Sus scrofa: one gene and its partners. The protein of the gene in region 2 purifies or fractionates together with the protein of the main gene of each other region. This does not show direct contact. Links are inferred from orthologs where the notes say so. Each region holds a gene or a part of one and is shown on either strand. Other genes may lie near its edges.

Region 1 (3,517 bases), on a different chromosome or scaffold from region 2:
TCTCGGAGTAGCATTATAATCAAGCCATCAGAGCCTGTGGAGAGGAATAGCCATGCACCCGCAGCGGAGACAATCAGGTGGAAAAGCCATAGTGCCCCTTTAGAAGTGGGCTCCTCAGATGCCAGACATGTTACTGTGCGGAATGCCTGGAAGAGTAGGCGAGACTTGAACTCTTTTGAAGACCCCCCAACTCGAATAGGTAAAAACGTGGAGTCTACCAACGCCTATACCCAGAGGTCTTCCACAGACTATTCAGACCTCGAACAGCCTGGCTCATACCTTTCTGAGCAGGGCACTCGAAGGGTAGGAAACTCAGGGGATGCCCCTGAGCTCTCTTCCAGAAGGACCCAGAGCAGCCTCACCGTGTCAGAGGTGCTCACTCGTCGGAATCGGGTAGGAGATGCTGTCACAGCCCCGGCCTGGAACCACTCAGCAGGCACAGTAAGTCCCATTTCTCTCCCTGTCCCCGCTTCTCTTTCCACTTTTCCCGTCTCCTTTGCTTTTCCCTCTCCTCCTCTGACCTGGCCTGCGTGACTCAGGATTATGGAGACTGGGGGCTGGGAAACACTGGGTAGAACTGGTGGGTAGTGCAGAGAATTTTTTAAAATGAGGGGAGTTTGGCCTTAAGAATAAAGTACCTTGAGGAACGTATTTGGTGGAGAGCAGCTTGAATTTCTAAACTCCTTTTCCCAATTTGTCGCTTCCATTTTGCCTTCATATATGAAGGCTACAAAGAAGGAGGGAGATACGACCTCTGTCCTTGGTTTGCCAGAAGAGCCAAAGGAGCTTCCCTTATGGCCCCACAGAGCAGTACTGAGAAACACAAGAATCAGCTGCAGTTGTTGGGAGGCTCTGGGTGAAAGGAGGAAGCTTGGTGCCCTTTCTATAGAGCAGAGATGGAACCAAGGAAAATGAGTTCTTTGGCTGCCTTGGTTTAGACAGCAGATATTTCCTAGTCCCGGTGTAAGCCCCAGCTCTCTTCAGCCCCTACATGCTAACAGGACTACTCTGATACACTTTATGTCTGAGCATCACTTTTTGTGTCACAGACACCTGTCTAGCCCATTATATCATCAGTCTGTGGGCAGGGCTGGTTCACTGGCTTTGTTGAGGATCATAGTGCTGGAACAACATATGAAAGGGAATCCCCGGGGAGTGTCTTATAATTGTGGCTCAAGTGATGAAGACAATTTTGATGTAGATATTGTTCCTTTCTTTTTAAAAGGTGACTGTGCGTTAAGTTGAAAAGCCCTATGAGTCTTTACAGGTACTTAACCCTGGACAAAACACTTCCTTACCATCGCATTCAGTCTCTCCAGCAGCCCTGGGGTGTGGGAGGATATTATTTGTTTTTTAGATGCAGAAACTGAGGGTCAGAGACACAGAGTTCCTTACCCAAGGCCACCCAGGTGAGTTACTGGATGAGCTAATAAGCCCTGAACCCAAGATTCCTATCTCTGAATCCAGTGCACTTTTACCCTGCCAACCTGATTTTGTAACTCATACTGGTATTCATGATCTGCATTAGTTTGGGAAGATCAACAAGGACATTAAAAAGCCAGAATTCTGGAGTTCCCGTCGTGGCGCAGTGGTTAACGAATCCGACTAGGAACCATGAGGTTGTGGGTTCGGTCCCCGCCCTTGCTCAGTGGGTTGACGATCCGGTGTTGCCTCGAGCTGTGGTGTAGGTTGCAAACGTGGCTCGGATCCAGCGTTGCTGTGGCTCTGACGTAGGCTGGTGGCTACAGCTCCAATTCGACCCCTAGCCCGGGAACCTCCATATGCCGCGGGAGCAGCTTAAGAAATGACAAAAAGACCAAAAAAAAAAAAAAAAAAAAAAAAAAGGCAGAATTCTGGTTGAAGAGGAATGGAGAGAAAGTTGGATGTTTAGGCTGCTGAAGCTTTGGCTCTCTGAGAAATACAGGATGAAGGGCACGTATGGGATATAGTAGGAAAGGCATGCAGTTTGTAGGTGGGAAATAGGCTAAGGCTGTCCAGCTTCCTGTTTAGCATACTTCCCTGCCTCTCCACCAAGCAGATGGCTCTTAGCCTGAGAAGCACGCAGCCTGCATGTGCAGCACTCCAAGGGCTGCTGGCCTCCACTTAGGGCACCACTGCAGTGCCCGTTGCAGGCCCTGTCTGCCCGTTAGAGGACCTGTTCAGTTGTGAGCCTCCCCCTACCTTAGGAGCTCCCAGCAACTTGGAGTTGGTAGTTGAAAGTTTTATATTGGCCTGTCCCCAGGCCTGAGCGTATCTTTGTAGCTCTGCTGTGGTCTGTCTGCACTCCATTTCCCTCTGTCAGGTTGGAGAGAACCGTTGGGGTGGGGAGCGAGGGTGTCTTATTACTTACTATATTGTCCTTCGCTGCTGACTTTTGTCACTTATTGGCATAGGAGGAAGGTGACGACTGCACACTTGGTGTCTACAGACGACTGCACAACTCCCTTGAACGATCTGAACTGTCTGCGAAGCAGGGGCTTCCAGAGCCTGGGCGAGCCCGGGGTGAGGAACGGTTACGGCCAAGCAGACCCTGTGCTGAGGAAAACTGAGCCAGTGGGGTGAGGTCTGCTGCCTCCTCTGCTCATGCTTCTCAGCTCTTCCATCCCATCTTCCTGCTCTATGAAGGATCCAAGGCCACTTAACCAGGCTAGACACCAGGCCTTGGCTGGGAGACTGTCGCAGAGAGCCAGGCTGTGGCTCAAGTCATTTTTTGCCAGTAGGCCAGAGGGGATCAGAAACTACAAGCTGGACGTAGTCACCCGGTTCCAGCCTTCCCTGATGCATGAGTCTTCTCCTTGTCCCCACCCCCTAGGTAGGATGGGCCACCCTGGCCCCAAAATGAGGAAAGCTAGAGAAACTCCTTGTATCCACACCACTTAACAGCAGCTAAATCTCTTCTTTGCTCCTTTGTGGGTTCTGCGTCATAGGGCAACCCCCTTCTGTGTGGTTAATGTTCCAGTTTCTTAGGTCTCCACACTGCATCCAGGTCACCGCTTGTTTGCCCTAAGGGCCTACACACCCACCAGCCATCAGCTCCATCTAGGGGGCTTCCGTTCCTTCCCCTGTGGAGTTCCTCAGTCTTTTACAGCAAAAGAGGTCTGTGCTGCGTCTAAGGGTTTATGGAAATACCCTTTAGGTCAGAGTTTTTTGACTTGGCCCCTTGGCTGACCATTGTTTTCTGAGGGCAGAACACATGGGTACCCACCTGATGGAATGACACCACCTCTCCCCCCAACCCCAGCTCTTTGCTCACCTTCCAGAGGTACCTGGAAGTACACAAGCCTCATGCATCTCCTTCTCTGAGCACCAATAATGCTGCTGGCCTTGCCTGTTCCTCTCCTGTGGCTGGAGACCTCAGGCTGACTTGGTCATGTCCTCCTTTGGAATATTTCCAGACTAAACTGGGCCTGACCCAGCACACTCTGCCTTCTAGGAAGCGCCAGCACGGGGGGAAAGTGGACAGGAGAAGCGATTTCCCTTTAGTCACTCCACAAAGCAGTCGTTCATGAAAGGCACG
Region 2 (4,039 bases):
GAGAAAATGACCTGGGAAAATCATGCATTCTTCTTCCACTTGATCTTCTAGGTAGGATTCTAGGTTCTGAGAGTGCACTCCACTCTCCATGGCTCACATGGTTTCAAAAACTCCTGTTTTTACCCACCTTCCCAAATGCTTCCTAAGTTTTCACTCAGCGTTACTTTTTCTAAAAGCAAGAAATAAAGCTCGCAAAAGTCTACAATTACTGGGAAGGTCCTTAAAATGAACAACTAGACACACATTAATCAGCCTTTCCTCCTCAGTTCAAGAGTTAATTCGGCAAAATACAATTTAATTGCTTGTACTCAGTAATCAGAATTCGCTTCACATCAATCGCTGGAACACAATATTCAAAACCAAAGCCTTCCTGGTAAAGACGAGCACTTGGCTGCTTTCGTACGTGAGGCACTAGTTCAAGTCTGAGGACCACCACTCAAGCTTGAAGAAGGAGGCGGGGGCAACATCCCCCACGGTCCCTGAAGAAGAAACCCTTCCTTTCTGATGGGGTGTGGGGGTGGGGAGACCCCAGAAATGGTTGAGAACATGCCCCTCCAAGTTCTAAAGCCCGGGAAGATGACAAGACCCCTTTGCGATGCGATGAAAAAAGAAAAGGCAGTCTGCCGGGGCGGGGGTTGGAAAGGGGACAACACACGACATTCAGGAGCACTGGCTTCAGCAGGTCCAGCCACGGGAAGCACTGCTCTCCCCTTATTCCATCTGTGTCATTCCCAGCAGGACCCCAGAACCAGTCTGGGTTCTGGTTTCCATTACTACCCACAAAATCATGATGGTGGAGAATTTATTTTCTTTTTTTTTTTTTCATTTATAATGATATTTCTTCCATTATAGCTGGTTTACAGTGTTCCGTCAATTTTCTACTGTACAGCAAGATGACCCAATCACACATACAGGTATACATTCTGAATTTATTTTCCGAGAAGACATTGTTTCTTGCCATCATCATCAATAACAAATTTCAAATGATAAATACTAAATTTTAAAATGATTAATATAGGCCTCACTTGCTTAATGCTAATTGATAAATAATAAATGCCTCATTCAGTTAATCATGATAAATAATGAAGAAATGCCTCATTTGGTTATTAGTGTACTTTATGAGTCATAAGACCCCTCCCGTTTTGGTGTATTAATCAAGGGAGGTAAAGGCAATTCTTGAAATGTCTACCTTACCTACTCCTTTGCTCATCCAGAACCTGGTGCAAACTATGGAAAAAAATGCGGAGGTTTAAGGGAGTTGTGGGTGCCCCAGTTAAGATTTTCATAAAACTACACTTGCACACAATTTATACAGTAGCTTTTGTGACCTGAACCTTTACGAGAAGTACATCAACGTTTTCATACATTGTGGAAAGAGAAAAGTAGGTCCAAAACTTCTTGCATAGGCTTTAGGCATCCCAAGGAGCCTACCACCCCATCTGCCGCTAGGAGAGTCCCTGGCCACCCGGTTCTACAGGAACTGACAGCACAGCCTGGAAAGAATTCAGACGAGCAGGAATGAGGAGGCTCTGCGCTCTGGGAAAACTGGCGGAACAGGCCCACAGAGAGAGATTTTCAGGAAAATTTAATGAACCCAGATTCTTGCATCTTCCCACACGCAGAAAAGCACTAAAACCATTGAGGACACATCTGCTCTCCCGACCAGCAGCGACCTTCTATCAAAACGTGCGCTCGCCCATCTACCCCGCCCTCAAGTCCCCTCCGTGGGGCCGGGGCGGCGCTAGAGGCCCCCCCACACCCCCAGGTGCTCAGCACGCCCCCCAACAGCGCAGCTCGGGCCCCCTCACGCGGCTTTATTTCAAGCCACACGTTGATTCCTTATTAAAACCTGAATCAGCTAAGAGTGGAAACAGGTGACCCCTGTGGTTTCGGGCCAGCAAACTGCACTTGGAAGGTGGGAGCGGCTCTTGGTGGGGGGAGCCCGGCGCCGGGAAAAACGCAGAGGGGACCGGGCGGGCGCCCCACAAGTGCCCTCGCCCCGCCCCGCCTTGGGATCCGATGGGGCCCCGAAGCTTTATTCTGAGATATTGCTCTTAAGTGTTGGAAGCAAAAGAATGGATCACTGACCTTGGGACCATTAGACCGCCACCCGTTCAGAAAGAGCATCTCAGGGAGACCCGACCGAACCCCTGGCGTGCAGAAGGTTCTGGAAGCTCCGCGGACCCGCGGTGTCAGCCCAGCCCCAACCGCCAGCGGCGTCCCTACCCTTCACCTCCTCGGCTTCCCCCGCTCCCGCGCAGGCAAGAGCGCGGCCGCCGGGACGCGGGGCCAAGGGACCGCCGGACGGACAGGCTAGCGAGTGCCCCAGGGCCGGGGTCCGACCGCGCCCGGATCCGCCCGCCGCCCCGCACACCTGAGCTCCAGCTGGTCCAGGCTCTCCAGCAGGCGGCTGGAGCGGTCGGCCATGGACGAGGAGCGGCAGAAGCGGCCCTCGTTGGCCTTGGCGCTGATCCTCGCCTGAGCCATCTGCGCCCGGAGGCCCGAGGTCACCGCCGTCACCGCGCCGCACGCCTCTCTCTGACGCGCCGCCCGCGCCCGGGCTGGGGATCCGCGGTCTGGGTGGGGACTGGGGGCCAGGGGACTGGGGGTCGGGGGGCGCGGGTGGTCGAGCAAGGACTGGGGTCCGGACGACTGGGGGCCAGGGAACCGGGGCTCCAGACGCCAGGGGAACCCAGGGGCGCGGGGCGCTGGCTGACCGCGCGCGGGCGGTAGGAGGAAGCCGGGCGGCCTGCGGGGCGGCTCACGTGGCGTCGGGCCCGCTCTTCGCCTGGAACACCGCCCCCAGGGCGGAGCCCGCGCCCCCGGCCCGGCCCGGCCCAGCCCAGCCCGCCCTCCCGCCTCCCGCGCGCAGAGCCGGGCCGCCGGGGCCGTGTCGCCCGACCTGCCTGGCCACCAGGCCCTCTCCGGAGATGAGAACGAGGCTAATAGAGCGCGCGAGAAAAGGCGCCCCTCTTACCACCCAGCGGGACGTAGGAAGGTGAACTTCCTTTATTTTCAATGACTTTCTTCTGTTCAAAAGTTATTTGCTGGAATTTAAGTGAAATGGTTAAGACCCTTTCACACCCAACTTATTTAAATCTCCTGTTAGGAAAAGATGCCGTAGGCCACGAGGTCAGACACCATGAAGGTCAGTACAAGTGGAGTGAATGTTGTGGGGAGCTCGCTGCTTCACGCTGCAAGAATGAGAAGGTACAGGGCACTTCAAGTGGAGATAATAACACTTTAAAGCTGGATCACAACCTTTAATCTGAGATCAAAGCCATGTAAATAAGTGAACAGAGATGAAGCCCTTAAGGCTGGATGGCAATTTTTCTGAACTTAGACTCCATGTCGATGAATTGTTGCTGGAGGGGAATATTTGACATCATTAAGTATATTCTCTCATATCATGACACGAACAAAGAATCCTTCCACTTTTGGAGAATGGAAGTCTATCAGGTGACTTCAGCATCACCCTGGACTCTCATGCCAGAGACCCAGTCCCCTCCCCTTCAGGGTGCACCCAGCCTGCCTTCCCTCCTGGACCAGTGGCCTGCCCTCCCACTTGCACCCCTGCTTCTGCTCTCAGCTGTTTGCACTCAACACAGCCCCACAGCAGTCCAAGTACAGCAGGTCACACCACTTACTCTCAGAAACCTTCAGGGCTCCTCCTTTCCAGGGTCTTCAGAAAAGGTCTCTAAGGATGCCACCTTGCATTGCCCTCTGAGCTCATCCTGCTCTTCTAGACCTTTTCACCCTCTTCCTAGAGCTCGCCCACCTTCAGGTCTCCTGAGCTTCACCTGGTCAGGGTCCTTCCCGACCACCCTGTTGGAAATAACTGCCTCCCCCTGCCCAGCCCCATGCTCTCCCCCCTTCCCTGTTTCACTATCTTATCATTCGAGGTTCTATCCAACCCCCTCCCCGAGTGCTCCAGAGTGGGGGCTTTGTGTGTGTGTGTGTTGGGGGGGGATCTCAAGTGCCGAGAACAGTGGCGAACACATGGTAAGTAGCCAAGAATACTTTGTGAGTGGGTGAACAA
Region 3 (3,517 bases), on a different chromosome or scaffold from region 2:
CCATCAGTCAACTTAAAATCAATTTAAGAGAAACACTATTACTTACACACATGAGGGCACACAGCATATCAACAGCTGCATGGATTACTCCATTATTGCTCCTTTTGAGTGCTTTTACCACTTTCACTCCTAGACGCTCCCGAAACCTTGTGAAACAAAACAACAAGCATATAGTATTAATGGCAGAGCATTATTCTATTATTTCATTATTAAGATATAACATAATAAGTCATCTTATGTTTTTACATTACTACTGCAATTACATACTCTGAATCCCATCTCTGGAACACATCAGTTTTCAGAATAATTTTTTTCTTTGAGGCGGAAGATTTTCTTAAGGTTAATTAAAATTAAAAGGCATATAATTTCCCATTCAAATTCACTAAAACAAGAGTCAGTAATATCATGGGTGAATGGATAAATAAGAGTTAGTAATATCACCAGTTCCATTCACCTTCCTTTTTTATTTCAAATCAATCAAAAACTACTGTATCAGCATATTAATAGGTATCAGGTTTTAGTCAGATATAAAGAGGTAAATTGTGGACTATTTGCTATTCTGAATTGTTCGAATTCTCTAAAAAAAATTTAAGACCACTTACTTTGGAAGCTGAGTAAAGGCTAAAAAACCAGCTTTGGAAGCCACAAGCCTCCTCACAGCTTGGAACTGACTTTCAAGTTCTGCATTTGAAGCAACAACATCTCCCTCTTGGGACAATAATGCTGTTATAGCATTATTGATCAGTTTTTCTTTGTTTTCTGAGAAGAGACCCTAGGTGAGGAAGAATATTTCAAAAAAGTTTCCATACCAAAAGTTAATGACAATGAACAAATTACAATACAATTTATCTTACATCCTGCGTTACTGCATGTAGAACTCCGCTATATGAAACATTAGCATTGAACCTGAACACAGCATCTGCAAAGTTGCCATCTGTAAGGAGATGAAAGGTTCAAAAAGATTTAGAGATCTTCATTGTACTTCTCAAACTATTATTAAGTTAATGGATGGAAATGCAATTACATTTAAATCCATACTTACTCGGAGGTGTAGCCAAGAATCTGAGATGAAGGCTCTCTACCTCCTCATCGACCGGCATGCTGAATAACCCCCATCGCTGACCTTTATGAGTTGATGTCATTTTTACACAAACATCTCGGTTACCAGAGGCTCTTACTCCATCGAGCAAACTTGCTAATAAGGAATCCCTAAGCAAAGTTAAAAACAAAAAGGTTTAGGATTGATAAATTAGAAGAAATTTTGATTTAGAGGGTAACCTAGGCTCTTTAGCAGGTAACCTGTCAGGGGAGCCCTCTGTGCACAAGGGAATCACAAAAGGACAGTGGCATTAGGAGAGAGCCTGACATTCTGTGTCCAAGGTATTAAAAGTATTAAAGCTTTAATGTTTTCCTGTTGTTTTTTAATTTTAAGATTATTTTTTAAAGTTTTACTTGGAGTTCCCATCGTGGCGCAGTGGTTAACGAATCCGACTAGGAACCATGAAGCTGCGGGTTCGGTCCCTGCCCTTGCTCAGTGGGTTAACGATCCAGCATTGATTGCCGTGAGCTGTGGTGTAGGTTGCAGACGCCGCTCGGATCTCACGTTGCCGTAGCTCTGCCATAGTGCAGGAGGCTACAGCTCCGATCTGACCCCTAGCCTGGGAATCTCCATATGCCGCGGGAGTGGCCCAAGAAATAGAAAAAAGACAAAAAAAAAAAAAAAAGTTTTACTGGCGCAAAACTTACAAATCACAAAATTCATATAATTAAAATGTATAGTCTGGTAATTTGTAGTATATTTATACAGTTGTGCCATCATTACAATCCAGTTTTGATATTCCCCCCAAAAGTTTCCTTGTGCCAATTTGCAAAAAACATCCTAGTCTTAGACAACTGTTTATCGTCTCTGTCTCTACAGTTCTCTTTTGAAGAAACTTCACCAAGAGAATGAAAATACAAGTCACAGGTCTATTTACAAAAGATGTATCTGATACAGGACTATTAACCAAAATATACCAAAAACTCTTAAAATTCAACAAGAAAATCCAATTAAAAAATGATCCAAAGAACTTAACAAAGACCTCACCAAAGAAGCTATACAGATAGAAAATACACATGAAAAGATGCTCCACACCTTATGACATCAGGAAAATGCTAATTAAAACAAGATATGGAGTTCCCCTCATGGCGCAGTGGTTAACGAATCTGACTAGGAACCATGAGGTTGCGGGTTCGGTCCCTGCCCTTGCTCAGTGGGTTAACGATCTGGCGTTGCCGTGAGCTGTGGTGTAGGTTGCAGACGCGGCTCGGATCCTGCGTTGCTGTGGCTCTGGTGTAGGCCGGTGGCTACAGCTTCAATTGGACCCCTAGCCTGGGAACCTCCATATGCCACGGGAGCGGCCTAAAGAAATAGCAAAAAGACAAAAAAAAAAAAACACAAGATACTACTGGGAGTTGCCGTCGTGACTCAGTGGTTAACGAATCCAATTAGGAACCAAGAGATTGCAGGTTCGATTCCTGGCCTAGCTCTGCGGGTTAAGGATCCAGCATTGCCATGAGCTGTGGTGTAGGTCACAGACAATGCTCAGATTTGGCGTTGCTGTGGCTCTGGCATAAGCCAGCAGCTGTTGCTCCGATTCAACCCCTAGCCTGGGAACCTCCATATGCCTTGGGTGCAGCCCTAGAAAAGACCAAAAAAAAAGATACTACTACATCAGTGTTACAATAGCCGAAATCTGGAATACTGATACCACCCAATGTTGATGAGGATGTGGAGCAATAGGAACTCTCATTCACTGCTGGGTGGAATGCAAAATGGAATGTGGCTTTTGGTAGACAGTTTGGTCATAGAAAACTCAACATTCTCTTACCATATGGTCCAATGATCATATTCCTTTGTATTTAACTCAAGGAGTTTAAAACTTATATCCAGACAAGACCTGTACACAGATGTTTATAGCAGTTTCATTCAGAGCTTCCAAAATTTGGAAGCAACCAACATGTCCTTCAGTAGGTGAATGGGTAAACAAGACAATGGAATATTATTCAGTGCTAAAAAGAAATAAGCAATCATGACATGAAAAAAACATGGTGGAAATGAAAGAAGCCAATCTGGAAAAGCTACATACCATATGATTCCAACTACAAAATTGTGGAAAAAGCTATAATGGAGGAGGGTGGGTGGGTGTGTGTGTGTGGGGTGTGTGTGTGTGTGTGTGTGTGTGTGGCGGGGTCGGGGAGGGGGCAGTAGGAGGTATTTGGGAAATCTCTGTACCTTTTAGTCAATATTGCTGTGAACCTACTAAAACTGCTCTAAAAAGGTCTTAAAAAAAAAAGCTTCATAGAAATTGAATCATATAAATATGTAGCCTTACATATCCTTATGTGTCTTGCTTACTTTACTCTTCATATGTTTTTAAGGCTCAGTTTTTTCTTGCTGAATAGTATTTCATTACGGATACACAACACTTTTATCTATCTCAAATAGGGGATATATATATATATACTGTATCGATCA

What was found.
Region 1: the proteins of BAG2 (region 2) and LUZP1 purify together in Homo sapiens (affinity purification with mass spectrometry; 3 studies listed by BioGRID and IntAct, with this or other methods). This does not show direct contact. The link is inferred for Sus scrofa from reciprocal best matches to the Homo sapiens genes BAG2 and LUZP1.
Region 3: the proteins of BAG2 (region 2) and DNAJC13 purify together in Homo sapiens (affinity purification with mass spectrometry; 3 studies listed by BioGRID and IntAct, with this or other methods). This does not show direct contact. The link is inferred for Sus scrofa from reciprocal best matches to the Homo sapiens genes BAG2 and DNAJC13.

Annotation. Positions count from the first base shown.
Region 1 is NC_010448.4:80,976,196-80,979,712, reverse strand, and holds part of LUZP1 (leucine zipper protein 1), read left to right. Parts: coding exon 1-441; intron 442-2,393; coding exon 2,394-2,549; 3' UTR 2,550-3,517.
Region 2 is NC_010449.5:28,677,695-28,681,733, forward strand, and holds the start of BAG2 (BAG family molecular chaperone regulator 2), read right to left. Parts: upstream 2,804-4,039; 5' UTR 2,488-2,803; coding exon 2,375-2,487; intron 2,238-2,374; exon of another isoform or gene 2,100-2,237; coding exon of another isoform or gene 2,089-2,099; intron 1-2,088. UniProt on the Homo sapiens protein: Co-chaperone for HSP70 and HSC70 chaperone proteins. Acts as a nucleotide-exchange factor (NEF) promoting the release of ADP from the HSP70 and HSC70 proteins thereby triggering client/substrate protein release.
Region 3 is NC_010455.5:73,625,881-73,629,397, reverse strand, and holds part of DNAJC13 (dnaJ homolog subfamily C member 13), read right to left. Parts: intron 1,210-3,517; coding exon 1,043-1,209; intron 935-1,042; coding exon 855-934; intron 773-854; coding exon 603-772; intron 147-602; coding exon 47-146; intron 1-46.